Linked DNA regions of Oryza sativa Japonica Group. The protein of the gene in region 2 binds, or shares a complex with, the protein of the main gene of each other region. Each region holds a gene or a part of one and is shown on either strand. Other genes may lie near its edges. A codon is read from its position in the direction of its gene.

Region 1 (14,348 bases), on a different chromosome or scaffold from region 2:
TGCATTGGAATAAGTCCACTTTGACTCCCTTAAAAGTGACCCGAATCTAATCCGTGACCCTCAACCATAAAACCAAATAAGACGACTCCCCGAACTATTCAAACCAGTGCAATTTGACTCCCTCATTGGTTTTGGACGGCGGTTTTACTGACGTGGCGCTGATGTGGCGATGTTGACTTGGTTTGTGGTACTGACGTGGCGCTTAGGTAGCATTAGAATTAAAAACTATATGGGCCCTATTTGTCATTCACACAAAAAGTAATTATAGGACCCACATGTCATCCCTATGACCCTATCTATCCTTCTTTCTCCTCCCTCTCTCCCTTGAGATTTGAAAACTTTCAGCTCGAGATTTGAAAATTTTCATGTCTAAATTTGAAAAATTTAAAGTTAAAATTTAAAAATTACTAGTAAACCAACCACTAGTAAAAATAGGAAACTAATCTAAACTAATTATATTTTTTTCTTTTATCCGTACGGCAGGAACAACATACGGCGAAAAAAAAGAAAAAAAAAAAGAAACAGCGGCGTTAAAAAAAAGAGAGAAGCGCAAAAGCGCGCGTGCATGGGTCTTGGTCTTGTGGGCCAGCGTGTGCGCCGGCAGCGCGCGGATTAGCCTTTCCGCATCGCTTCAGCCTTCAGACCGTCGAATTCGATGTACAATCGGACACAATCAACCCTTACTACGTTTTAATCAGAAAAGAAATGATCTTACTGACATCGCTTTAGTCGCTTTACTAGCTAGCTAATCACTTTGGAGTTTCAGTGCTAGTGTTCAAAAAGCGCTTGTACTGGCAGCTACAGTACATTACATGATTTACATCTTATAGCACACTAGTATATACGCCTAGTAAAAATTTCCGTAATTTTGATAAATTGACCCTTTGAAAAAACTTATTTTGATATTGAGCCGTGTCAAAAACTAATTTTAAAAATAGACCATTTTCTCGCGCCATCGTACTTGGCGCTGAGCTACAACGTATTAGCGCCACTTTCTTTGGCGTTGAGATGCGATCCAACGTGTCACGTAAATCACACGTCATGCGATGCGATGTCAGCGCTAAAGAATTTGGTGCTAACCTCCATGGTATAGTTGTATAAATAGTATGCATGTACATTCTAGCCTTATGGAAGGTCTATCCTGGTGGTGAAGGGCTGCCTCTCATAACAAGAGGTCAAGGGTTCGAACCCCGTAACTTCTTATTTTTCTTTTTTTTCCTTTTAGGATCAATACTGCATACATAATTATGTAGCAAAATAGAGGGTGAAAAAAAATGAAAGATGTAATTTTATACCAACTATTAAGCTATAAATACCACATACATAATTTTGCTCCTTCCATATTTAAAAATAAAATAAATTAAAAAACATCCATATTTAAAAATAAAATGAATTTGAAAAGCATGTGAGATTTTTAAATAGAACAGCAAAAGATGCTTATACTTGCTTGGCTGAGGATCGAACCCATTACCTCGCAGTATTTAGCACCTAGAGTTCACCAAGCTTTCTTGTCTTTGTGTGTGCAATGGAAGCTTGTAGATAACTAATATTTGTAAATTGAACAAAGAGTATTTGGCGATGACCTCGGATGACGTGTAAAATCCGTGACACTTCGGATGACATCTCGGCGCTAATCTATATGGCGCTGAGAAAACGGCCTAATTTTGAAATTAGTTTTTGGGATGATTCAATTTCAAAATAAGTTTTTTAAAAGGGTCAAATTGTCAAAATTACGGTAAAAATTATCCACATTCACGAACAATGGATCAAAATGCCGTCTCTCACATCAATCTCATGCACCTTGCAGTGTTTCCCGCCGGCTCCGCCGCCCGTGCGCGTGTGCCTCCAACACATTACCTGCATACTTGCATAGTGCCCTACTGTACATATGACTGTATCACTGGTCACTGCATGTGGCGACTCGACATGGAGATGGGGGGCCTCTCCCAGCCTCCCCTCTCTTGGGCTTTTTGGCCGCGAGCCAACACAGGCACACAGCGCCGCCCGCTGTAGCGCGACGTGCGGCCGATGAATGTGGCACGGAACGTCGCGCCGGGCACGACAAAAGCGGAAGGGCCTCGGACTCGAGAGATGGCTCGCCGTCGGTTGTCGCCTCTACGACGGGGAGGATAAGCTGCGGCTATAGGGCAACTAGGCACAACCAAGGCGATGTGTACGTACGCGGCACGCACGACGCCGACCCGGTTCATGGCATGGCCCCATCTTATCGCGTACAGGGATCGGGATTCCTTCGATACCCCAACGGAGAGGGGGCCCGCTCTAGAGAGCAGGCTAGAGAGCAGAGAACCTTACTCCCACTCTCCCCATATATGATGGCATAGTATTATGAATTTGATGTATCTTGGAATTAATCAAGGAACGTCAACCCCACCTCTCCTGTCGCCCTCCCCGGGGATGGCTAGGGAGGCGAGCTCCGGCCACCCCCTCTCCCCCACCTCTCTCCTCCGCCTCGCCGCCGCCTGAGCGGCCGCCGGCTTTTGTCAGCGGCTGCAAGGATGGCGGCGGCGGGGATCGCTTCTCGCCGGCGGGACCACGCTTGGGTAACCTAGGGAGCCGCCCTGGACGGATCCGGCCCTCCTGAGGGCAGATCTGGTGTGGGGCGAGCTTGCGGCGGTGGCGGTGCTGCGGAGCTCGTGGCGACAGCGTCAGCGTCAACGGGGTGAACTCGTGGCGGGAGAGGCCGTCGCAGCGGCGACAGTGGCGCGGAGCTTGTGGCGACGGTGGCAACAGCGGCAACAGCAGGTGGCTGGCCGACGGCAGCATCGGCTGCTGTGGCGACCGTGGCTGCAGTGGGAGGAGGCACGGCGGTGGCGACCGTGGTTGCGATGGAAGGAGGCACGACGGTCTCGAATGGCTAGTCGGGGGCGTGGCAGACGGCCGCATCTGGCCAGCGTGACAGCGATTGGAGGAGGGGTCGGAGGCTGGTCCTCGGCACAGAGAGGTACGGCTGATGGCAGTGGAGACCGGCATGGCGCGAGAAGCATGCCCGACTATGGTGGATGCCGGCTTGGCGTGAGGGACACGAACGGTGGTGGGAGGCCGGATTGGCGCGATGAGGCGCGTCCGGTGGTGGAGGAGGTCGGCGCAGCGTGATAAGGCCTGCTCACGGAGGAGGAGGTGACCATGGTGCGAGGAGCTGCCGGTAGGTGTGGCGCGGTATTCGGCGTACGAAGGCTGGCCGGCGGGGGGGGGGGGGGGGGGGGGGCGCCGGTGAAGTGGTCCGACATGTCGGCAGAGTTGGGTGATGGTGGAGCATCGGTCGGTGGTGGAGCAGGTGGTGAGCGGCGGCTGAAAACCTAACCCGGCCTTGGCCAGACTGACAACGATGGTGTCATTCCCTCTCCTGAGAGCGTTGTCGTGCTGTCTCATCCCTTAAGGGTGGTTGCCGGGTGAAAGCCCAGTCTTGGCTCTTTTGAGACCCTGACGGACGACGTCAGCGGCTTTTCGTCGCTTCTCTCCTTGGAGACGTCGTTTAGGCATCCCCTTGCCGAACCACTCGAACAATTGGTGCATGCACGCTCTAGATTCTCATCCTCTTGTGGCGGCGTCCTAGTTTCTACAAATTTGCCACGTCGGAGAGCCTAGGGGCGGGGACAGATGTTCTTCTCTCTCACCCTCTCTCCCTAAATCTGGAAGACGTGGATAGAGTTGGGCTTTGTGTTGGTTGTAAGGGTGTTTTTTTGGCGATCTCGTCTATGATTCGTTGTTGGCGTAGTGGCGACCGGTCCGGTGTCAGCCTTCTCCTGGACCTGTGTGTTGGCGCTGTCGGTGTGTGGGTGATGGTATTTTTCCCCTTTTTTCTTGGTTACGATCTACCAAGGTTTTAATCCTGTATTTTTTTTCCTATTCTATCAATAGAACTTCGCACCGTCTCGTGCGAGTCGTTCAAAAAAAAAGTTGTATCTTGCTCCATCCTAATTTCGATATCTTGTTCGGTCTCACAAGCTAAACGAGCTGGCTTGAGCCGGCAACCGAGTCAACCTTTTAACTCGTTTGGATAAGTTATCCTAACGAGCTAGATCGAGGCGAGCTGGCTTGATATCTACTCCTAATTATGATTTATTCATATTTATAGTTTCATCCGGTTCTAAGTTACTATATATTGAGATGAAAAAAATTACCTTGTACTTTCTTCTTTGTTTCATATCATCACAAAGATATATCTGAACAAATATTTGTCCATATACGTCTGTAGAAGATTAGAAGTTGATTTTTTAGACGAAAGTGTATGCACCAAATTGCAACTTGGTCTCATCCAAAATGGCCATGTGTCGTCTTTCCCAATCCCTCTCCTTTCCTTTTTCACCTATCCTCTTCGTTTCTTTGCCACCCCCCTTGTCCATGCATTTACACATCGCTAAATCATACCGGTGGTCAGGTTACAAGTCCACAACGAGTCAACGAAACTACCCAGCTGAGCTAGGCTTGATTTCAATCCAACAAATATGAAATAATGAAAGTGCACTGTAGCAACAGGCTTGCAAGTTGTAACACTGCTTCCCCGCAAAAAAAAAAAAAGTTGTAACACTGCTTATCACTGTGCTGGTTTCTCTGCCGCAACACATCCAGCAAGATGATCCATGGATCATACTACATGGATAACCAGGGTGTGCTCACAGCTCGTGTGTACATGTGTGTGTGACTGATTGATGTGGCTTCGATGGGGCTCACAAAAGTTGGCGTTACGTGACAATTGGCTGAAACTGTATTACGGAGCACGAACTCGATTGGATTAGTTTGGCTTGGTTCGTTCATAGTAGCAACTAGCAAGACGCTGATTGCAGACATAATCCATACTTATCACTTGTGGATAAGAATATGCGGACTACTAGATAGGCCAAATGCTAATACTCCATGATCAACTGTTATTTATCCATCAGCATTGATTATTGTCCACAAGCTTAAAGGCTTTGGTTTGGCCAGCTAACAACACCACAACTACCGTATCAAAAGCTAGGCATCACGCAGATCATCACGTTGGCTCCCCATCAAGGCCCCCACCCACAGCCCACACAACCACTCTCACACACAGACGCGCACCGTAGAGCATCCTAAAACAGTGTCAAGATTGCCCACATCGTCTGAAAGAAAAAAAAACACGACAATCAAATTCAGATAGTAATGCTACTCCCTCCATAGTCCATCCACGTGTGTAGAGCATTTCTAAGATTGTTATGACATTATTAAGAAGGAAAATAAAAGACTTTTGATGCCTCTTATTCAAGTGCGGTTGCCATCTTCTGATTAGACAAGATGAAAGGCTGAAGCCTGTGGTTCGACGAGAATTTAGTGATAGGTGGTTGAAAGGAGATAGAATACTTTATAAATTTCGTGTACAAATTTTAAAGGTACTTACATCGTTAACGGAGACCGTTCAAAAATATAGCAGATTCTTCTAAATATATCAACCAATTACTTATAAGATAAAAAAAATTACCACTTAACTTAATTATAGTCCCAACAAGTCTCGATCTATATTCCTCACTTAGAGCAAGGTTAAGATAGCATGTTATTAGCTGACCGTGTCATCTATAGTAAGCATAGTAACTAATACCTATAATATGAATATTATAACATAAATATTTTATTGTTTTATGGGATCCACCATCTTTTTTCTTCCTCATACCTCATCATTTCCTGTATTATTCTCTTTCTCCTTTTCTTACCTTCGATTCGTCAACGATTTTGGGCTTGAGCAGTCAGCGAGGATGGACGATGACGGTGATCTGGCGGATGCAGGTGACTACGGCGGTCTGGCGGACGCAAGAGACAGTGGTTGTCGTGCAAGACAAAGGCGGCTGTGTGGTGGAGGCGGAAGGTAACGGTGCATGTGCGGCGGACGCAAAGACGGTGACAGCTGGGCTAGACGAGCTCAGTTGTCTGGTGAACGCGAGAGACGATGGCGGCTAGGGTAGATGCGGGAGTCGGCGCCGGCCAAGCCGAGGGTGACAGTCCAATGGACACGATGGACAAGGGCGTTAGCCATGGAGTATCGAGGAGCAGCACCAACGCAAACCATGGCTGATGTAGGAATGCTTCTTCATCTACAGGCGAGCCCCACAACTTCTTTAAGCAGCGCGTGCGGCGACAAATTAGTCGTGGGCGCTCTCTCTTCCCCCCTCTCCTCCAATTCATCACAAAATCCTACGTGAAACTAATACCGTTCATTATTGTACCCGCTCTTATTTTATAGAGCAATCTTTTTATCCATCTCGTTTTATCCGTGTGAAAGGCTACCAAATTTTTGAGATGGCAGGTGTAGGTAAGGTTAGAGCATAGGAATCTCTCAGCAAGAACATACTTCCTCCGTATGGACCGTACCAAAAAAAACTAACATAGGATTGAGATGTAACGTAACCTAACATAACGAATCTTGGCAGAAGACTATCTAGATTTGTTGTGCTAGGATTGAGATGTAACGTAACCTAACATAACGAATCTTGGCAAAAGACTATCTAGATCTTGGCAAAAGACTATCTAGATTTGTTGTGCTAGATTATGTCCGTCCTTATATTAGATTGGATTTTTTTAAGACCGAGAGAGTAGTGGCCAACTGGGGCAGACAAAGCTACTGGTGACTAATCAGGTTGGTACACGTGGCGACTTGTGATTTCTCTGGGGGGCCGTAGGCTGCGGTTAGATGGCAGGGTCAACCTCCTTATCGGCGATATAAATGGCGATAAGATGGGCCATGCATGTCGTTGACAATGATTTGCCATCGCTTAGCTGCTACCGCTCCCACAACCGACGATTCCTTGAGACGTTTTAACCGTACAAAAAATGAAGGGTAATTTCTACAGCAGCAGTAGAAATTACTGCCTAAATAAACATTTTCAAAAATTTATATTATCAAAAATTTGATAAATTGACAACATTATTAAGTTTTGATAGGATAAATTAAATATGATGTTGCTAAATTCTCTATATAACAAAGTAAATATCGTTATATATTTGTTAATAACAAATAATGATACGATTTAAATTAATTGAACATATTAGTACTACGAAGAAAAAATTACTGCGGCTAGATATTGACAAATGAAACGACAAGACGTCAAGCCGGGACAAGGAGGAAGAAGAAACAAACAAACGAACCCGTGTGCGCCGTCGCGAACACTCGCCGTGAGAAGGCCCACGGCGTCGTCCATCAATCAGACCATCACCAATCGGCGAGTGAAAAAATACAAAGAAAAATAATTGTATGCACGAAGCACTCCAGTAATGTAATTTTTTTTCCAATAGAGTAAGGTAGGTAAAAATCGAGCACTAATGCTACAGTACACTCTCGGTCTTGGCAGGTCGCGCCGAAATATTTTCTAGGCCTGAGAAGAGGAGGGTAAAAATGCAGTAAAATCCGACGCGGTAAAAAAAAAAAAACAGTAGAGGGATGCGTGTCCCCCTACTGGGCCACACGTACCGTAGCCGCAGCTGCGGTGGTTTTTTTTTTTCTCCTTCGTTTTGACTCGTCGCTGCGGCTACGCGCACGCGCGGCGCGCCGCGGTGGCGTGCGGGGGGCGTTGGATTAGTACCGGGCGAGAGCGCGGCGGAGCACCTGGGCGAGGAGGCTGGGGGCGCTGAGGTGGGGGAGGTGACCCTCGGTCTGGAGGAACTCGACGGTGGTGCGGCCGCCGAGGTGGGCCTTGAGGTAGGCGGCGACGGAGGCCGGGACGGAGACGTCGCGGGTGGTCTGGACGACGACGCAGGGGGCGCGGACCATGCCGAGCACGCCGCGGAGGTCGGTCTTGAAGACGGTCTGGCAGACGTGGAGGGAGATGTCCGGGCGCATGTTGAAGAGGGTGCGGCTGAACTCCTGCACCGCCGCCGGCACGTCGGCGCCCACCGCCAGAGGCGCGTACCCCGTCGCCCACGCCGAGTAGTTCGCCCCCATCGCGTCGAACACCTGCTGTATCTCCTCCAGCTCGAACCCGCCGTGGTAGTCGCTGTCGTTCAAGAACCTGCACACACATGTCCGTGCTCCCCGATCGCCCCCGATCAGATTCAATTTTAAGAGCGAGAAAGGATTCACATCAGTGGAAGCGAGCGTACCGGGGAGAGGCGCCGATGAGGACAAGCTTGGCGAAGAGGTCAGGTCGTCGGATGGAGGCGAGGATGCCGATCATGGCGGAGACGGAGTGGCCGACGAAGGCGCAGCGCGGGATGCGGAGCGCGTCGAGGATGGCGAGCAGGTCGTCGACGTAGGCGTCGAGGTTGTCGTAGCGGCGGAAGTCGAAGTGGTCCGGGTTGACGCTGCCGGCGCAGACGAGGTCGTAGAGCACGACGCGGTGGTCGCGGGTGAGGTACGGCAGCACGCGGCTCCACGCCGACTGGTCCGTCCCGAAGCCATGCGACAGCACCACCACCCGCTCGCCGCTCCCCACCACCCGCACGTTCAGGATCTGCAGCAGCTTCGCCCCGCTCGGCGCCGCCGACCCGCTCCCTCCTCCCCCTCCTCCCCCGCCGCCCACCATCGTCTTCTCCGAGCTCGACGACGCCGACGACCCCCCGCCCCCGCCGCCGCCGCTGCTGCTGCTGCTCGGGCTACTGGGCGGCGGATGCGTCGATCGCAGCATCACACCAGCGCGGCGGATTGGCAAGCCGTGGCGCGCTCCCCTTTTATATACTACTACTACTACTACTATCACCACTGGCCATGGGAGATGGTCTTGACTCTTGCCTCGCTTCTTCTCTCTCTTTCTTGCTTTGATTTCTCTCTCTGCTTTATTCCACTGTCTTAAGCTTCGTTGGGTGCGGTGGTAGATTGGGATTTTTGCAGAGAAGGTGTGTGATTGCTTCAGTTATTTAGGGGGGTGTTTGGGTTTTGTCTCCATGTCCAATTATCCAATCCACAGCAGATAAAAAGGAGAGGCAGTGAGGCACCTATAATTCTCTGGATTTTTTTTTCTCAGGAGAAGTTTTTTTTTCTCTTATCGTTTTGTTTTATTTTTTTTTGACTTCACAATCCCAACCAGAGATGCCACTGCAATTAATATTACTCGTAGTTGAGAGTTTTGACAAGCTAAGAACGTCGCTGTTAGTGTCTGTAATGTAGCGTTTGATTATCAGCGTTAAGGGAATTTTTGCAGCAAACGTTGTAGACATATTAGATGATGTTATAAATGATTTAAAGAGTATAGAGGAAAAGATGTTAAGTGAATATGTTAGTTCTTCTGTTAATCAGGTACATACTTCAAATGTTGATAGCGAGATATTGGATGATCAGGTGGATGATAATTCTCTACTTCAACATTTGTGTGGTGAATTAATGGAGGAGGTGATGGATTTTAGTGGTGTGGATGATAATTATTCTTAGACCACTTTATATTCTTTAGATACCTCTCCTAATAGTAAGAAAAAGACTAAAAGGGGAAAGAAAAAAAAAGAATATTTTTAAATGAAAGGGTTGTTCTGGAATTGTGATGGGTTTAAGGTCCCGAAAAAACATAAGTTTATTTCTGATTTAACAAAGGAACATCACCTTGATTTTATTGCTTTGTCAGAGACTATTAAGAAAGATTTTAGTCCGGCTGTTCTTAAAAATCTGTGTGCTGGCAAATAATTTTTGTGGCATTGCAAGCCTCATAGAGGTAGGTCCGGTGGTTTGCTTTTGGGCATCAATTTAATTAATGTTGATATTGGTTTGATTGATGAGGGAGATTTCTACATTAAGTTTCATTTATGTAATAAAGTTGATAAGTTTAAGTGGGCTTTAGTTCTGGTGTATGGGCCAGTACAAAGTGAATTTAAGGATCAATTCCTTGCTGAATTAGTTAATATGTGCAGTCATGAAACCTTACCAATTCTTATTGGTGGTGATTTTAATATTCTACGTACGTAGCCCTGATGAAAAGAATAATGATAATTATGATGATAGATGGCCATTCCTTTTTAATGCTATTATTGATGGGTTATGTCTCCGGGAGTTACAGATGTCTGGTAGGAAATTTACTTGGGCAAACAATTTAGTGAATCCAACATATGAGAAACTTGATAGGGTTTTAATGTTCACGGAGTGGGAACATAAATTTCCTTTATCTTCTGTGGTGGCTCTTAATAGAGATATTTCTGATCATACTCCTTTACTTTTAAATACAAACACTTCTTCTTTGAGTAATGCTCAACATAGTTTCAAGTTTGAATTTGGTTGGCTTTTACGTGATGGCTTTGTTGATATGGTAAAGGAGATATGGTCTAGTGTTGATGAACGCAATTCTGCCATGGAGCGGTGGCAGGCGAAAATTCGTCGTTTAAGACAGCATCTTAGGGGTTGGTCTAAACATACTAGTGGCTTGTACAAAAAAGAAAAAAAAGGAGATTTTAGATAAGTTGGATTTGCTAGATAAAAAGGCAGAAACTATGCTTTTGAGTCAGGAGGAGTTGGATTTTAGATGGTTTTGTAGAAATAGATTATCTACAATTCTGAGAGAAGAGGAAGTTAAATGGTATCAGAGGGTGAAATCTAAGGATATTTTAGAGGGTGATTCTAACACAAAATATTTTCATTTGGTTGCAAATGGAAAACATAGGAAGACTAGAATTTTTCAATTACATGATGGTGACCAATTAATAAATGGTGATGCGAATTTGAAATCGCATATTACCACTTATTATAAAGGTTTATTTGGGCCTCCTAATGATTCTACTCTTCAGTTTGATGAGAATAAATTTGCTGACATTCCTCAAGTTTCTCAGTTGGAGAATGAGGCTTTAACGCATGTTTTTACTGAAAAACAGATTAATGAGGCGATCTTCCAAATGGAACATAACAAAGCACCGGGTCCTGATGGATTTCCTGCTGAATTTTATCAAGTTTTCTGGAATGTCATAAAATGTGACTTATTAGATCTTTTTAAAGAATTTCATAATGATACTTTGCCTTTATACTCTCTTAATTTTGGTACGATCATTCTTTTACCTAAGTATGTTGAGGCCATGAAAATCCAGCAATATAGGCCTATTTGCTTACTTAATGTTAGTTTTAAGATCTTTACCAAAGTTGCCACAAATAGAGTCATGACGGTTGCCCAAAAGGCAATTAGTCCTACTCAAACTGCTTTCATTCCTGGGAGAAATATTATGGAAGGTGTGGTTATTTTGCATGAAACTTTGCATGAGTTACATCGTAAAAACAAAAGTGCTGTAATTTTTAAGATTGATTTTGAGAAAGCTTATGATAAGGTTAAATGGTCATTTGTACAACAGACTTTGAGGATGAAAGGCTTCTCTACTAAATGGTGTGAGTGGATTGCCTCTTTTATTCAAGGTGGTCATGTTGGTATTAAAGTTAATGATCAAACTGGTAATAATTTTCAAACGCATAAAGGTCTTAGACAAGGGGATCCTCTATCTCCAATTCTCTTTAATTTAGTTGCTGATATGCTAGCTTTACTAATTAAAAGAGCTAAAGATAATGGATCTCTTCATGGGGTGGTTCCTCACCTAGTGGATGATGGTTTGTCTATTTTGCAATATGCAGATGATACCATCATTTTTCTGGAGTATGATTTACAACAAGCAAAGAATTTAAAATTGATTATGTCTATCTTTGAGAAATTATCTGGCTTGAAAATTAATTTTCACAAAAGTGAGTTATTTTGCTTTGGTCAGGAAAAGGAGTGTTATGAGCAATATTCTAATATCTTTGGTTGTAAGTTAAGATCTTTTCCAGTTAAATATCTCGGTATTCCAATTCATTTTAGAAAGCTTTGTAATAATGATTGGAAAGTTATCGAACAAAGAATAGAGAAAAAATTTAGCAGCCGGAAAGGAAAACATATGTCTGTTGGGGGTAGACTGGTTTTGATTAATTCTGTCCTTTCAAGTTTAGCTATGTTTATGATATCTTTCTTTGAGATTCCGAAAGGGGTTCTTCAAAAGATTGATTATTATATATTTCGTTTCTTTTGGCAAGGAGATGACCATAAGAAAAATTATAGACTTACTAGATGGGATATTATTTGCCAACCCAAAGAACAGGGGAGTTTGGGGGTTCATAATTTAGATATTCAAAATAGATGTCTTTTGAGTAAATGGTTGTTCAAGTTAATAAATGAAAATGGTGTTTGGCAAGACCTATTGAAGAGAAAGTATCTTTATAATAAGTCTATAACCCAAGTTGACAGGAAACAAGGTGACTCCCATTTTTGGTCAGGACTCATGAATGTCAAAAACACTTTCTTAACTATGGGTTCTTGGATTGTGAATAATGGGGAACAAATAAGATTTTGGGAAGATAGATGGCTAGGAAATATGGCCTTTAGAGAAAAGTATCCATCTTTATATGCTATTGTCAGAAGGAGAAGTTCTTCTGTTGCTAGTGTGATGGCTTCTGTTCCGCTCAATGTTTCTTTTAGGAGAGCTTTAGTTGGTCAGAATTTAACACTTTGGCATGAATTGTGTGCATCTATTGTTCATATTCAATTGAATAATACTTCTGATTGTTTTAGATGGAACTATCATCAGAATGACCAATTCTCAGTTAGATCAATGTACTTAGCTTTAATTAATAATGGTTACATTGACAGAAATAAGTTAATTTGGAAACTCAAGATGCCGCTTAAGATCAAGATCTTTATGTGGTATTTGCTTAAGGGAGTTGTGTTAACCAAGGATAATTTAGCAAGACGGAATTGGAATGGTAATTTAAGATGTTGCTTTTGTACGAAAAATGAGTCTATCCAACATTTGTTCATTGATTGTCATTTTGCAAAGTTTATTTGGAGAGCAGTTTAGTTTTCTTTTGGTTTATATATTCCTACTAGCATATCTCATATTTTTGATGATTGGCTTCAGGGAGTCATAAACAAAAAGAGCAAACTGATACTTGTTGGAGCTTCTGCCTTGTGTTGGGCTCTGTGGCTGAGTAGAAATGATAGGGTTTTTGATAAATCACTTACTGTTACTTATATGCAGGTCATTTTCAAGGCAACATATTGGCTTCATCTGTTGTCACAGTTACAAAAGTGTGATGAAAATACAGATTTCTTAATTGTTGCATGTCGTAAGCTTGAAACGAAGATTATACAACTGTTTGCCAATCATGAATGGAGATTTACCAATAGACTAGAATAATGTTATTTTGTCTAGTTTGGTTGGTGTGTTTGCTTCTATTTGGATTTTACTCTTACAGAGTGCTATTTTGTAATAATTGGCTGTAGCTCTTTTGAGTAAAGACCGGGATGCTATTTCATTCTATTATCTAAAAAAAATATGATTCGTAGATCAATTCTTTACTTCCTTCCCAACATGTAATCACTTTAGAATTTTTCACGGAGACCATGGATAATTGTGAAATCGAATGAGGAATGGTTATATATTTTTTAAAAAAATAAATAAGTGGAGAAAATAAGTAAACAAATTGTTTTGCTTGTTGGTTTATTAATAATAGCTAAAATTTAAAATTTAATTTTAGAATTGATTTTGAGATTGTTTGCATCGTAGTTTAATTTTCAGGATCGACTTTTAAAAGCACTAAGAACAAAGATATACAAGTTTTATCCATAGATCAATTTTAATTGCTTCATTTATTTTTTATGGCTGATCAGCTTGTAGAGTAAATGATGAGAGATTAGAATTAAGTGAAGAAAGTTAAATGTATGATTAGTTAAGATATGGAGTAGGTAGAGAAGTAGTTATATTTTAGATAGAATTTATACTGTTGAAAGTAGTTATACTTTAGTGAGTAGTGGTTTGGGACTCCCTCCGTTTTATATTATAAGTTAATTTAAGTTTATCATAGGTCAAACCTTATCAAGTTTGACCAAATTTATAGAAAAATATAGCAACATTTATAACAAGTTTAAGGTAATGTTTTGGTAGTGATGTAGATAAAACTTAAGTACACGGATGTAAAACAAGAAAACCATTAGCGTATAATTAATTTAATTTTTATTATTTAAAACTTGAAAATAGATTCATCTGGTATTTTAAAGCAACTTTTATATCGAAAGTTTTCGGACGAAATTCAACGATTAATAGTTTGAAAAGCGTGCTAACGAAAATTGAGGTAAAATCTATATCTTAATCAAAAACAGATGAAAACATTTAGTAGTTTCATTAAATTCATCGTTCGATATGTTTTTATAGTATATTTACAAGTTTATTCCAAGTTAAAAATGTTGCTTTTTTAAACTTAAGAAGATTTGATTTAGTACTCCCTCCATCCCATTTTAAGCGTACCCATAAGTTTCTGGGTTCAACTTTGATCGTCCATTTTATTTAAATTTTTTTAATTAATATTTTTATTGTTATTAGATGCTAAAATATGAATAGTACTTTATACGTGACTTATGTTTTTTATTTTTTTTAAAAAATTAAATAATACAGACGAT
Region 2 (15,193 bases):
GGCTTCGTTTCCTGGTCGGGTCCGCTTTATGGGCCCATGGCCCATCTGTCAGAGGAACAGGCTTGTTTCGAGTCGGATAGGCCCATGTTTGCATTGCTGCTTGACTATTCGGATTCGTTTGAGATTTCGACGGGTAACTGAAAGGCTAAAGCAGGTGAAATTGGGTGGATCTTTTCTGAATGCGCGAGAATTCAGTGAAAGTTGGAAATTTTAACAATTTATTATTTGCCACTTTGTTACATGTGAGTGCGTGATACGTTTTCCTTGGAGATGCAGACATGTCTTCTCATGTAGAAGTATCCGGTAATGTTATGATTCTGTACATCTTATGCAAATTTTTGTATCAGAATTTCAAATAGTTTGAAATTTAGTGTTCAGATTATTTTTCATCCATCATGCAGTCATACAGTTATAGTGCCTTCATTTTTCTAGGATCTTTTATTCCTTTTGTCCCTAATTCATTCAGTTACATCTTGAGCTGCAAGACTAGGCTGTTCACTTGTTCTGAATGCTGAAATCGCCTGACAACGACAAGTTGACAGCATCGCGAGCTTATTTGGAGTACATTTGTTGAGTCTTGGACTGCACGCATACACACATGTTCTTGGATCTTGAACATGAAGAATTGAATATCGACAACGAAAGCGAGCCCAAGAAAGAAACATGAACGCTGCATCCCTTCTTTATAGAGAAGATCCGGGTACAAATCTCTTCCACCTTCCCAGTTTCTCTTGACCCTAAAAATGATGTCAAAAATCAAAGACAATAACGCAAGCCCTCATAGTTGGAGTCAGGATTTTTACAGTGATTTTTGTAGGAGTTAGAATGTTAGATCAATCAATTCCCACAGGAATCAGTAACAAATCCCAAGTTTCAAAGGCACACAATCTCTTGTGCTTTTGCAAAAACTATCTAAAGACTATAACATAGTTGAGAAATCATTCATGTAAGTGACAATGTTGTGATTTGGATAGGCCATGACAATGAATCCTGAGGACAGGAAGAGTCTTACAAAGCTACTCAACAAAAACATCATGTACCTTGCGCGGTTTGATAGCTAGTTCATTGTCTTCCATGAGAATAGCCTTGAAACCCAATGGTTCTAGAACCTTCTGATAGCTGTGGTTGCGGAAAGGACAACGCAAGAGTACTGGGTAAGATTTTTGCACAACACAAAGTTGCATCACAAAGACAGAAAAACGGAAGGTTCTCAGATAAAGCCTATGTCTGCCCTGGGGGCGAGGGAACAAATGACTTACTCGGTGACTGTATTATTGAATGGTGGTCCTCCTTCTTGGTCACTGATCTGTAATAAGAGATTCTCTTTACGGCGAACAAAACAGTTTTATTAAATCAAAAGAAGTGAATTGCTAGCTCCTAACTAATTTTACACCCACTTGACAGATGGTGCATGCTAGGGTAACGAGCTGAAATTAGTTCTGTTTATTGTTTTAGAGAACTGCCTCAATATGGATGAAGCAAAATATATTGGAATGATGTCAAAAGAAGTTTTAGCAGGTCCGTTTGTAATATCACCAGAGTATGCACAAATAGCTTCAGCTAATTGCTCAAAACCAATTTCCTACTTTTCAGGTGCATCCTAATATCTGTAGATGCATGATTTAGAAATGACTAAATAAGAAATCGGCCGCCAGAAGTTGGCTGCTTGTTGAAAGCTCTCGAGTTAGGAAAACTAGAGGCAATACCTCATTGATTTACACCAAGCTATGAAAACCAATTTAATCAATTTCCCCATTGCCCATTTATGTATATGCTATCATAAATAGCAGCCAAAGAGTAGAAAATAACTCACTATGTTGATCCTCAAAACTTTTGTCAATCTAACAGAACATGATAAACATTGCTAGCTCCTTGCATAACAGTCCATAAGACAACTTGTATAGTTAACCCTACCTAAATTCTATTTTCTGTCTTCAGAAATAGCGAGTGCATACGAGGCTATGTCTTCAGAAGGATAGGCTATGAATACAAGCCTCAGACCTCAGCACAATATGATATGATTAGTACCATGACATCCTCAATGGAAAAGTAAACAAAAGAATAGATAGATTCTTCAGTTACCAAATATATAAGGGTGATTAGCTCTCCATGAGGTTTTAGAAGCCCACTAACTGTTTCTGCCCAAGCCAACCTCAAGCTTGGATCAAGTGCACAAAAGAACCTGTGTATATTAATAAAGGTCATTTAAGATGCCACAAGAATACGAAATCAACAGGATAAAATTAGCACATACGTATAATCGAAAATAAGATCAAATTGTTCACTTGGTTTCCACTTGAAGAAATCGTCAGCCAGAAAAGTAAAACAGTCTGCATTTGGCAAAGATGATGACCACTGGTATACCAACGGATAAAAGGATTAGATACTTCTATATAAATTTTAGAGCAACGGGTCTAACCAAAAACTATATTACCATTTATGTACTGAAATGTTCTTAAAAGTTCCCTATTAATGAAATAGGCAATCCTCCTGCCTAACTTTCAAAAAAAAAGGGGGGGGGTTCAAAGTGAAGTATCTGTGAAGTTCTAGGTGTGAAACCATGTGTGGTTATAGTTCTTTTGTGATGGGAAATTGACAAGTACCGGATGTGCAAGAAGTGTGTGTGTGGACTAACGTTGGTCAGGTTGCGACATCTGTGCCAAGACAACGGTTGTTTGGTTCATGTGTGTGCAGGTGATCGGGGTCGATCTTGGTCAACGGCGGATCGGGACTAGACTCAGGGAGGAGTTGAGGTCCAAAGCGATCAAGGATGCCGGGTGACAAGATTGGACACAAGGTTGCACACGGTGGACGAACACCGTGTGAAAAGGTCTTTGCAACAGGCTTCACAAGGTCAAGTGTGCAAGCATCGGATTCGCGAAGAAATCAGAAGGGACTGTGCAAGTGCATTGCTGCTACAGTACTTGCTGTAGGTAGCATACATGCATGTACACGTACTGTACTTGTGCAAGGAGGAGCTTGCACTGTACTGGTTGCTACTAGCATGGCTCGGTGGAAAAGTCAAGCTAGCTAGCTGTGCATGTGCGCTGTGATTGGTTGGCAGGGAGGCCAAGCCAATCCAGCCGTTCCACGTGGCCCAAGATGGTGAATGGCTCGGCTCGGCAGGCCTGCATCGTCCAAGCAGCGACGGCCCAAGACGGCGGCCCATGGCGCATGGGCTCAGGAGGTGCAGGCAGCTTGCATGCGCAAGGACGCGCGCGGAAAAACCGTACGCGGCAACCCCCGTTTCGCGTGACTCGATCGGAGGCGGGTGCAGGAGCGCGGGACCCACACGCGATTTTGCAAGCGCGCGCGGGAGCGGCTCAGCGGGACGCGTGGCGGCTTCGGGCTGGTTGGGCGCTGGCGAGCGCGCGCTGAGGAAAAGGAGACGGAACGCGCACGACGCGGCTGGGCAACGTGGCAAGTTTGGATTCGTCAAGACGGAGAGCACGCGGATTCATCAGCAAGAAGACCATGTGAGGGTTCGGATCGATGAGGTGGCAATCATCTGGAGCTTTTCCTTTGAGTAGAAGGAACAATGGATGGACCAGATCTGTTCTGAGTTAGGGTTTCGCCCTAGGGGTATTTGAGACAATGTCTTAGGGGTCTTAGGCTATAAATAGAGAGATGGATGCAAGGGTGGAGGTTGCTCCTTTTGGTAATCATTTTGAGATGCTCGGTGAGAGAGTTTCCGTGTGAGTTTGGAGTGTGTTTGCCCGAGAGGCTTTTGTATTAGGATTAGTTTGGAGTGTGTTTGTCCGAGAGATTTTAAGTTTGTGTTAATGTTCCTCTGAAGGTGTATGTTTGCTCCTAGTTGAGCGGTTATTTTGCATCACCTATAAATGAAATGATTTGAAGGATTTCATTTTTGCCTTGTCCATTTAAATTCCGCAATTTAAATTCCGCTTGCAATTTGAACTTTGCGATGATGAGTTTTGCTCTCTCTTTCTCACCTCTCTTCTAGTTTCGGGAATTCCTTTTCTCTTCCTCCTCTAGTTTCGGGAATTCCTTTTCTCTTCTTTTTCTCTCTTCTTTTCTAGATCCGGCTTCTCTAATAGCCGCGATTCTAGTAAGGATTTTGAGAAATCCGGCTTGATGAGTATTTTCGGGGGCAAGATTTGAATTGCTATATTCACCCCCCCCCCTCTATAGCTGTTCTTGGTCTTTCACTAGGTTGCAAGCTTAATTAAGTTAACATAGCTTCTCATAAGTGATATCGAGAACTCGACTACAGCTCACCTGCTTAGCCTTCTCCACAGCTGTACTAGAAATATCCAAGCCAACAACAAATCGCTCAGGGCTTGCCAGAGCAACCACATCATATCCCTGTTACACAGAAGCGCCTCCATTGGAAAAGTTTCATGAACTGGTATTGAAAGACGCGAATATTAGGGAAGGACCTAATATCAAATAATTAAAAGGGGTGAGGCTTCGAACCCAGGTCGTCTAGCTCACCACCTTGTGGAGCTAGCCAGAAGACCCCTAGGCGTTTCTCTGAACTGGTATTGAAAGGGAACAACCGAGCAGGCAGGACCCTCGTAATATTCGATTCAAAGGATTTCCAAATCATAGGAATAGGAAAAGTAAAAGATTAGGATGCCACGTGCACTCCAATCCATAGGAATTTTTCCAAGAGATCTTACCTCATGCCAAGAATCATATGGAATAAGGTTGTAAGACTACAATACTTAGGAATTTGGTAGGATCTATCCTATGAAATGAATGATACATGGAGGAAAAAAATCCTATAGTTTCAATTCCTACAATAATCCTTGGATATCCTTTGAACCGATAATATAATTGTTCTTGTACATTGGGCAGGAACAAGAACAAGGAAAGCATCAATGATCATGCGGGGAAAAGAAAGCAGGCATAAGCATATGGCAAATGGGGTTGTTGATTCACTTGCCGTGCCGCATCCTGGAACCAGAGCTCTCCCCTTCGGGAGAGTTCCTGATTTAACGAGATGTTCGATGATAGGTGTTGGCTTCCCCAAATCCCACGGGGTTACGGCGGCCTCCCACGACTTCTCCCAGCCATCTGATTCAACAACATTCAAGAACAAGCAATTCCAAGTCAGGATGCTGTATCCACATGATAAAATGAAAGCACCCACAAGGTAGAACAATCTACTCTATAATCTCAACATCATCCTTCTCTTTCAGCGAAACCACATTATCTGTTGTTAACTTCAGCATGATTTCAGAGAGCAAACAAGCTCTCCAACTGCAGAATCTTCTCCTCAAAATTGTGGTCCTAGCTCATACAATGAGACAACCATAGTTTGAGTTCAACCAATGCTGTTTCAGCAAAGCCGCCAGGGAATCACCGGAAGAATCCCTTTCTACTGCCTCATTTTTCCTCCTCTTCAACACTAGGCCAAACAAATTTCCCCAACTACTCGCCCCCAACTCAATGATCCAATCCGCCCACACCCACCACCACCCGCACATGCGATACCATGACCCAAACCTATAAACCCCCCCCCCCCCCCCCCCTCTCCTCAATTCCAACTCCCCCAAGTCCCCAACCAACAACCACCAGAGAGAGACAGAGAGAGCGAGGGGGAGAGCCCGATCCATCCTCACCTGCCGCGTCCCCGCGCTGCACGAGCTCCCGCAGCCTCCCCACCGCCGGGTTATTGCTCGGGTCCCTTCCGCCGCCGCCGCCCACCCTCGCCGCCGACGAGCTCATCGACGCGAAGAACCCGAAGCCGAGGCGAGAGCGAGGCAGCGCGTGCATACGGCTCGTAATAATAATGATAATGACTAATTACTCCTCCGTTTCATACAGGTTCATATTATAAATGGAATGATTTTTTTAGTGAAATTTTATTAAGTTTGATCAAATTTATAGAAAAGATTTAGTAATATATAAAATATTAAATTGGTTTTATTAAATCTTATATTGAATATGTTTTAATAATGTGTTTGTTTTGGGTTAAAAACCATACTATATTTTTTATAATCTTATCAACCAACATTAACTTAGAAAAAGAGTCAAATACTCCCTTCGTTTAAAGTCAAACAACTTAAAGTTTAACCAAGTTTATAGAAAAAAATAGTAACATATTTAACCCAAGACAATTTATTATGAAAATATATTCAATTATTGATTTGGCTAAACTAATTTAGTATTATAAATATTACTATATTTGTCTATAAATATAGTCAAACTTTTGTAACCTGAAATAACCTGTACTCCCTCCGTCTCATTTCAAGTGCAGCCATGGTTTTCCGAGCCCAGCTTTGATTTCGTTTTATTTAAAAAAATTTAAAATCATAAGTCACGAGTAAAGTACTATTCATGTTTTATCATCTCATAATAATAAAAATATTAATTATAAAAAAAAATAAATAACACGAACGATCAAATTGAGCGTGGAAAGTTGCACTTAAAATGGAACGGATGGAGTATTGTGAAACGGAGGGTACTGTTAAAAAAGGAAAAGGTGAGGGTGTAATTATAAAAGTGGAAACGAAACGAGACGAAATAATTTAATCCGAAGGGGATAAGAGGATAAAATTATCAAAAAAATAAAAAGAAGGAAAAAAAAAAGGGAGAGCTGTCGAGTATATCACTTCGCTGTGTGGCTTCTCGTCCCCACTCGCTTCACCCCAAATCCCTCAACGGCAGCAAGAGAGAGAAAGAAGAGAGAGAGAGAGAGAGAGAGAGAGGAGTAGACGTCGCCCATGGCGGAAGAGGAGGAGGTGGAGGAGGGGAGGTCCTCGTCGTCGGCGATACTGGACCTGCCGGAGCCGCTGCTGCTGCACATCCTGAGCTTCCTGACGGACGTGAGGTCTCGGCACAGGGCGGCGCTGGCGTGCGGGAGGATGCGGGCGGCGGAGCGGGCGACGAGGTCGGAGCTCTCGCTGAGGGGCGACCCGAGGTCGCCGGGGTTCCTGTTCCTCTCGCACGCGTTCCGCTTCCCGGCGCTGGAACACCTCGACCTCTCGCTCGTCTCGCCGTGGGGGCATCCGCTTCTCTCCTCCGTGCCGCCCTGCGGCGGCGGCGGCGGCGGCGCGCCCTCGGCGTCGTCGTCGTCGGGGATGAACGTGTACCACCCCGAGGCGATCTCCGAGCAGAACGCCTTCATCGCCGCCCGCCTCGCGGGCTGCTTCCCGGCGGTGACCTCGCTCGCCGTCTACTGCCGCGACCCCACCACGCTCGCCAACCTCACCCCGCACTGGCAGGCCTCCCTCCGCCGCGTCAAGCTCGTGCGCTGGCACCAGCGCCCGCCCACCCTCCCCGACGGCGCGGATCTCGAGCCGCTGCTGGAGACCTGCGCCGCGCTCCGGGAGCTCGACCTGTCGGAGTTCTACTGCTGGACCGAGGACGTCGTGAGGGCGCTCACCACGCACCCTTCCGCCACCGCGGCGCTCACCCACCTCGACCTCGGCCTCGCCGCCGCCACCGACGGCTTCAAATCCTCCGAGCTTGGGCCAATCGCGGCCTCCTGCCCCAACCTCCGCAAGCTCGTGGCGCCATGCTTGTTCAACCCACGGTTCAGCGATTGCGTCGGCGACGACGCGCTGCTCTCGCTGGCCACCAGCTGCCCGCGGCTGACCGTCTTGCGGCTCAGCGAGCCGTTCGAGGCTGCGGCCAACATCCAGAGGGAGGAGGCGGCCATCACCGTTGCGGGGCTAGTCGCCTTCTTCGCGGCGCTCCCCGCGCTGGAGGATTTCACCATGGATCTCCAGCACAATGTGCTGGAGGCCGCGCCCGCGATGGAGGCGCTTGCCCGAAGGTGCCCGCGGATCAAGTTCTTGACCCTGGGTTCCTTCCAGGGGCTGTGTAAGGCCTCTTGGTTGCATCTTGATGGTGTTGCGGTGTGCGGTGGGCTGGAGTCACTTTACATGAAGAATTGCCAGGATCTCACGGATGCCAGCCTTGCGGCAATTGGCCGTGGGTGCCGGAGGCTTGCTAAGTTCGGCATCCATGGCTGTGACCTTGTCACTTCGGCTGGGATCAGGAGGCTTGCATTCACGCTTCGGCCTACTCTCAAGGAAGTCACTGTCTTGCACTGCCGGCTTCTGCACACTGCAGAATGTCTCACTGCTCTAAGTCCGATCCGTGATCGCATTGAAAGTCTTGAGATCAACTGTGTCTGGAACACAACCGAACAACCCTGCAGTGTTGCAAATGGCACCACCACCGAATGCGATCCTGAGGATGATGAGCTTGGTGAAGTGTACGAGTCTGCAGCCAAGAAATGTAGGTACATGGAATTTGATGATCTTGGAAGCTGGGAGATGCTCAGGTCACTCTCCCTATGGTTCTCTGCTGGCCAGCTTCTCTCTCCGCTCATTTCTGCTGGTCTCGATAGCTGTCCCGTGCTTGAGGAGATCTCAATTAAGGTGGAGGGTGATTGCCGGACATGCCCACGACCTGCTCCAAGAACAATTTTTGGCTTAAGTGATCTTGCAGGCTTCCCAGTATTAGCCAAGATGAAATTGGACCTCAGTGAAGCTGTGGGTTATGCACTTACTGCACCAACAGGGCAGATGGATCTTTCACTATGGGAGCGATTTTATTTGCATGGTATCGAATCACTGCAGACTTTGTATGAATTGGACTACTGGCCGCCCCAAGACAAGGATGTGCACCACCGGAGCCTGACATTGCCAGCCGTGGGATTGATCCAACGCTGCGTTGGACTCAGGAAGCTTTTCATCCATGGCACCACACATGAGCACTTCATGACCTTCTTCCTTTCAATTCCAAACTTGCGGGACATGCAGTTGCGGGAGGACTATTATCCAGCCCCAGAGAATGATCTGATGTTCACAGAGATGCGGGCTGAATCTTGGCTTAGGTTTGAGGTGCAACTGAACAGCCGGCAAATTGATGATTAGTTATGTGGGCACAAAATGGTTTGAAGCTGAATACAGAGATTTATCTGGATGGTGCCATTGCTCCACTGTGCAATGGCAGGGGATTCCTGGTGAGTTGGTTATGATTATGGGTGGAGTCGTGTGTATTGCTGCAGTGCCATTGAGGAGAGTAGTATACTGGCAGCACTTGGATCTGTCAGCAAAGTAACCTTCTCCAGTTGCTTTTTTACCCCCTTTTTGATGTAATAAGAGAGTTGGGTCGGAAATGAGATATTTGCAGGAGATAAGATTATAAATTAGGCTTCATGGAAAATTTTCCAAGAAAAAAAAACATTTTGTTTTTAAGATGGTCTGAGTTGTGAACACCGGCAAGAGTAATTGGCAAATTGGCATGGTTCTAGCGGTTTGTAACATTTGAACTCTGTAAACAAAAGAAAAACGCCACTCGCTTTTCTTATGCCCTTTGCTTCATGGGTGAAAGTGGCTCATCTAATATTGGTCAGTGTTTTACTGTTTTCAATGGATGGGCAACGGAGTTCAGTACTACTGCGATAGGAAACTATTTTGATGTGTACATAACAGCTCTATTAATCCAAAATTATGTGCCTTTGCTCTTTGAGTTTATTTCTGTCCCTTTCCTTTTCCATTTCATGCACAGGCTTGGTGACAAATGGGATGGCGTGTGCAGATGTGCAAGCCAGTTTTGCATGTCATTATCGGGCATGTTGAGTTGCAACACCGGCTACAACAAGGTTTACTTTAATACACAGCAGTAAGGATTTAATCTGATAGAATGTTGAAAGGTTTTCTCTTTTTTATGCAGGATTGAAAGCTGCTTTAGTTTCCAAGGAACAACCAATCAGTTCCATCAGAACTGACTACCACCATTTGCTGATTCGTTCTCTGCAGTGATCCCCAATGGAGACCTGGCCTTTGCTTCATCTCATCCTCAAACTGTAGCATGACAAGAAAGACGTGCGGAACAAGATCAGCATCAGAACATGACAAAAAGATTTTCGCACTAGAAGCCGGTTTATCCAATTCCTCTGCTTGCCTCTTCCATTCAGCTAGTTAAGATAATGCGAGATCACTGGTTTTGTCAAAGCAAATCCAGACGATTCTTGGTGCCATGGAAAAAGAAGTCGTCCATGAGTGAGAGAGCTCTCTTGTCCTAATCCATCAGCAAGGGCAATAATGCTTTTTTGATTAAGCAGCTGGAGGCCTCACAAAATAATGCTTAAGCAAGTACTACTACAGGATTAAAAGCTGGCCTCTAGAAGGAGTAGATTAGGTAGAGGAGAAGCTTCTCCTTTCCTCTTTTGCCACGTTGAGGCTTATTGCTCACATGATTGTCAATCAACCACGTCACACAAGCACATACACACACTTATTATTTGCTCATAGTTTTAGTTATTTATCAACATTTGGCAGATATGTGTTGGAAATTCAGATGCTCCTTGATGCCATTTTATCTTGCTGGTACATCTGCATAACTCGCTCATTACTATCTGTTGCAATATTATTATACATTTGGATATTTAATGTGCTGATCGCTTCTTGCTACCTATCTAATTTCAGAATGTCTTGAAAGCAAAGCTGGTGACAGGAGAGATGTCATATGAGCAGGCAGTCAGTTGCAGCCTTGTGGTTGCACCTCCCTTTCCTGCTGTCCTCTTTTTTTTGTTTTCCCTGGTTTCTCTTCATCAGAATTAAAGCAGATATTTTTGTGGCGGCCGTGGATTTCCATTCATCTGATGATCAGCTAGTAATATTCTGCAAGTGCCTTCCGATAGAATTGAGCGATGATTCTGAGGTCAGATACTCATCAGATGCTCGAAGGATAAGTGGGTTTCAGACGATGCTGCAAAAGATATTAGCCGGCGAGTGAGGTGAGGCTACTAGCCTACTAGGCTTATCGCCTTGTATAAAACTAAAGGAGTCAGTACAGAGACATCAGGTAAAGTCAGCATATGCAGCTATCCATCTATGCATGCATGCACCAACTGCAAAGTAAAGGTAAAAGTGAAAGCTTTGTCTTCCAGGTGTATGGAAGAAAATTATCCTTGTGATGGTTATGCAACTCACTCTTTTGTTTGCACCCAGATATGTCATATTGGCTTTTTCACCATGGTGTCAAGGTTGATGTGAATGTGAATGTGATTCTACTAATTTGAGGTCATGTAGAGTAATTAAGTAAGCAAATGGAGCCCGTCATGTCGTCATGCACTGACAAGGATATAGTCCTATGGACCTCTATTTTGATTAATTGGTGGAGAAAATTCAGAGGAAAAATATGTGTGTGCTGGAATATGTTGGTATTTTTTTTTTACAACCTTAACTTGTGATGATAATATTGTACAGTACACCAGTAGCTTTCTGCCGTGTAGATGCTGACGGCGCTAGCGATGCTAGCAAAACAACGTGCGTGAGGAGTGGTTTTCACAATCGATCCTTTTACAAACATATGTTACAATTACTTTCGTGAGACACGTGTAAACACAAAACATATATATCTCGAGAGATTAATTTATTATCAATATATTATTCATGAGGTTGACGAAATTACTATAGATATCTTGTTAAGCTTGTATCTTCCATTATATTTTGTTAAGCATGTATCTTTCACTAAAGAATATGAAGAATACGAGGCATGTTGTATCATAAAGGAATCTAACAAAATTATATCATTATGTTTGATAGAACTTTTTTTCCAAAAATAGGCCCTAAACATATAGCGATGATATTTAACTCGGTGTATATAAATAAAGTACAACACTATATGATTAGGTGTTGTGCAACCTACTGCGTAGGATATGCTTTGTGAAAAGTAAGTAGCTTTACGGACCATCCTACGTGATTTATACAGTATCAAATCCTGTGACACCGTACCATAATAATCCATAAACACATTGTATGCTTAAATGTCACGACGCCAGTCCTGTTTAGCTCACACCAAACTTCCCCAAAACTTCCAATTTTTCATCACATCACATCACATCCAAAACTTTCCACTCACATAAACTCGTAACTTTTTTTTCAAACTACAAACTTTTCTCAAACTTCTCCCCAATTTCAGAAACTAAACACAGCCGAAGAAAGTTTTTGCGAGGGTTTTAGTTATAAAAATTGCTTTTTAAAAGGGGTAATTCGAGAAAATGCGCCACGTGGGTAGACTACTAATTATAATCGATAACACTATGGCATGTAAGTAAGACCACGTGTATAGGTAATTAAGTACACGCCTTAATTGATTATTACGAAGGTTGATTCCCTCTGCAGCAAGGTCACGCAAGTACACGTGACACGTCTTGTTTAAGGGAAGAAATTGGAAGCATCGCTTGTGATCTTGCAGCATGCTAGCTTAATTAATCCATCGACTGAAATAGTTAAAAAAAATCTTCTCGTGCTTAATTTTATATTAAGAGATGAAATTAAGGGCGATTTATTAAATGCCACTGAAAATTCAACAGTTTTTAAGAGAGAAAAAAAACCACATTTATTCCTCAAAAACTATTTATTTGGTTTGCTTCTCGTGGCCCCATCTCTGTCCATGGCGACCTCAAAGTCGCGCTTGCTTGTATGGAGCAGCGCGCGGACCACCTCACCGCCGCGTCCAAGCCCGAGGGTGGCGACGAGAGGCTTAGCACATCCGCCCCCGCCGCCCCGAGGCAACGGATAGTCACATGCGACGAGGTCCCGGTCAAGGAGGTTGCCCTGGGCGACAGCCCGTCCAAGACCACACGGATCGGTGGTCTTCTGGACGGCAAATAGGAAGACGCACTCGTCTCTTTCCTGCGGGCAAACGCTGACGTCTTCGCATGGAGACCGGCGGATATGCCCGGGGTCCCCAGGGAGGTGATTGAGCACCGTCTTGCCGTGCGATCGGGCGCAAGGCCGGTCCGGCAGAAAGTACGGCGGCAGGCCCCGGAACGTCAAGCCTTCATCCGCGAGGAGGTGGCGCGACTTTTGGAGGCCGGATTCATCCGCGAGGTCATCCATCCGGAGTGGCTGGCGAACCCAGTGGTCGTTCCCAAGGCGAACGGCAAGCTTCGGATGTGCATCGACTACACCGACCTTAACAAGGCATGTCCTAAGGACCCTTACCCCCTGCCTCGCATAGATCAGATTGTCGACTCCACAGCGGGGTGCGACCTTTTGTGTTTTCTAGATGCATACTCTGGTTACCATCAGATTCGCATGGCTAGGGAGGATGAGGAAAAAACTGCATTCATTACCCCCATATGAACTTATTGTTATACGACAATGCCCTTCGGGTTAAAGAATGCAGGTCCTACTTTTCAACGTACTACTCGAATTTCTTTGGGTAGCCAAATAGGACGTAATGTTGAGGCTTATGTTGATGACTTGGTTGTAAAGACGCGCAACCAAGAGACCTTACTCTCGGATCTAGCGGAAACTTTTGAGAGTCTCCGCTCCGCCCGCATAAAACTGAACCCCGATAAGTGCGTGTTCGGTGTACCTGCGGGCAAGCTTCTCGGGTTCTTGGTCTCTGCCCGAGGCATCGAGGCCAACCCCGAGAAGATACGAGCTATAGAGCAGATGCGCCCCCCCAGCAAGCTTAGGGATGTGCAATGCGTCACCGGTTGCATGGCCGCCCTAAGTCGGTTCATATCGAGGCTGGGAGAGAAGACGCTACCCTTATTTAAGCTCCTCAAACGCTCCGGGCCGTTTACTTGGACGGAGGAAGCTGAACGTGCCCTCACTCAGTTGAAGGCGTATCTCAGCTCTCCCCCAGTTCTGGTCGCCCCGGAGCCAAATGAACCCTTGCTACTCTACTTAGCGGCGACCCCGCAAGTGGTTAGTGCGGCGTTGGTTGTGGAGCGCGATGAGGACAATCCTCATTCCGCGCACCCCCACCCTGTGCTGGTTTGGCCCGGGAGAGAGCAGGGAGGAGAGGCCCCCGACGACCGGAGCAGGCCCTCTGCCCGCTTGTCAGACGGTGCCAGGTGCCCCCGACCCCCAGGATGGCCCGAGGGCCACTGCGGGAAGGCCGCACCTATCGCCCTCTGACCCCGAGGCTAACCCTGTGCCGACTCGACCCGGGAGACAGCAGGGAGAAGAGGCCCCCGAGCCGAACGGTGGCCTAAGGCCCCTGACGGCCGGAGTTGGCCCTTTGCCCGCTTGTCCAACGACGCCAGGAGCCCCCGACCCCCAGGACGGCCCCGAGGCCACTGTGGGAAGGCCGCCCCTGCCGTCCTCCGACCCCGAGGTCGTCGGCACAGAAGACGAGTGCACCCCGCAAGGCCGCTTGGACAAAGAGCGCCCCAGGGATGTGGCCCCTAGCGAAGAGGATCGGCCCCACCGAAAGGTGCAGCGGCCCGTCTACTTTGTTAGTGAGGCCCTCCAGGACGCCAAGACCCGATACCCTCAGGCCCAGAAGATGCTTTACGCTATTCTGATGGCTTCGAGGAAACTGCGCCATTATTTCCAGGCGCATCGGGTCACGGTGGTTACGTCTTACCCCCTCGGCCAAATCTTGCATAATCGAGAGGGTACTGGACGGGTGGTGAAATGGGCAATCGAACTTTCTGAGTTTGATTTGCACTTTGAACCACGCCACGCTATCAAGAGCCAGGCCCTCGCCGATTTTGTGGCAGAGTGGACCCCAGCACCCGAGCCCGTCTCAGTCCCCGAGGCCAGCTCGGGCCCCTCGCAGCTGCCTCACACCGCCCACTGGGTGATGCAGTTCGACGGCTCCCTGTCTCTTCAAGGCGCCGGTGCGGGGGTCACGTTGACCTCGCCGAGCGGAGACGTCCTCAGATATTTGGTTCGCCTTGACTTTCGGGCGACCAATAATATGGCAGAGTACGAGGGACTCCTTGCGGGACTCAGGGTGGCAGCTGGACTGGGAATCCGCCGCCTCCTGGTGTTAGGCGACTCCCAGCTGGTCGTTAACCAGGTATGTAAGGAGTACCGGTGCTCTGACCCGCAGATGGACGCTTACGTGCGCCAAGTACGGCGTATGGAGCGCCATTTTGACGGGATAGAGCTTCGGCACGTGCCCAGACGGGATAACACGATTGCCGACGAACTCTCACGGCTCGCTTCCTCGCGAGCCCAGACCCCACCGGGCGCCTTTGAAGAAAGGCTTGCCCAGCCGTCGGCGCGACCCGACCCCTTAGGGGAGACGGATGCGCCTGACAGGCCCCCGAGGCCCGTCGGAGTCCAGGCCTCGGGACCCGAGGGGAGCGCTCCCAGCTCCCTTAGATTGATTGCTTGGATCGCTGAGATCCAAGCATACCTCACAGATAAGACTCTACCCGAGGACCGCGAAGGGAGTGAACGCGTCCAGCGCATCTCCAAACGCTACGTGCTGGTAGAAGGGACCCTCTATCGGC

Evidence for each region.
Region 1: the proteins of F-box/LRR-repeat MAX2 homolog (region 2) and strigolactone esterase D14 are in contact, whole or in part, in a cryo-EM structure (PDB 8IF6), measured with the Oryza sativa proteins. Residues at the interface, in NP_001411525.1 of Oryza sativa: Gly109 (codon at 7,017), Gly110 (codon at 7,020), Ser113 (codon at 7,029), Ser115 (codon at 7,035), Ser116 (codon at 7,038), Ser118 (codon at 7,044), Tyr596 (codon at 8,478), Ala597 (codon at 8,481), Leu598 (codon at 8,484), Thr599 (codon at 8,487), Pro601 (codon at 8,493), Asp634 (codon at 8,592), Asp636 (codon at 8,598), Val637 (codon at 8,601), His666 (codon at 8,688), His668 (codon at 8,694), Leu696 (codon at 8,778), Met697 (codon at 8,781), Thr699 (codon at 8,787), Arg702 (codon at 8,796); in NP_001404251.1 of Oryza sativa: Asn61 (codon at 8,411), Arg63 (codon at 8,405), Gly66 (codon at 8,396), Ser67 (codon at 8,393), Asp81 (codon at 8,351), Ser83 (codon at 8,345), Leu89 (codon at 8,327), Arg97 (codon at 8,303), Gly107 (codon at 8,273), Ser108 (codon at 8,270), Pro111 (codon at 8,261), Ala135 (codon at 8,189), Arg137 (codon at 8,183), Pro211 (codon at 7,870), Asp217 (codon at 7,852), Pro219 (codon at 7,846), Ala220 (codon at 7,843), Val222 (codon at 7,837), Gln223 (codon at 7,834), Ser226 (codon at 7,825), Arg227 (codon at 7,822), Asn231 (codon at 7,810).

Annotation. Positions count from the first base shown.
Region 1 is NC_089037.1:5,463,888-5,478,235, reverse strand, and holds strigolactone esterase D14, read right to left. Parts: upstream 8,793-14,348; 5' UTR 8,592-8,792; coding exon 8,068-8,591; intron 7,977-8,067; coding exon 7,544-7,976; 3' UTR 7,236-7,543; downstream 1-7,235. UniProt on the Arabidopsis thaliana protein: Involved in strigolactone signaling pathway. Does not move long distances acropetally in the plant to regulate shoot branching and is rapidly degraded in the presence of strigolactones.
Region 2 is NC_089040.1:2,934,357-2,949,549, forward strand, and holds F-box/LRR-repeat MAX2 homolog, read left to right. Parts: upstream 1-6,682; 5' UTR 6,683-6,692; coding exon 6,693-8,855; 3' UTR 8,856-9,425; downstream 9,426-15,193. Other genes in the region: probable thiol methyltransferase 2, read right to left, coding at 684-737, 1,041-1,119, 1,260-1,306, 2,083-2,182, 2,255-2,355, 4,240-4,326, 4,910-5,040, 5,589-5,742. UniProt on the Arabidopsis thaliana protein: Component of SCF(ASK-cullin-F-box) E3 ubiquitin ligase complexes, which may mediate the ubiquitination and subsequent proteasomal degradation of target proteins. Promotes the senescence. Is necessary for responses to strigolactones and karrikins.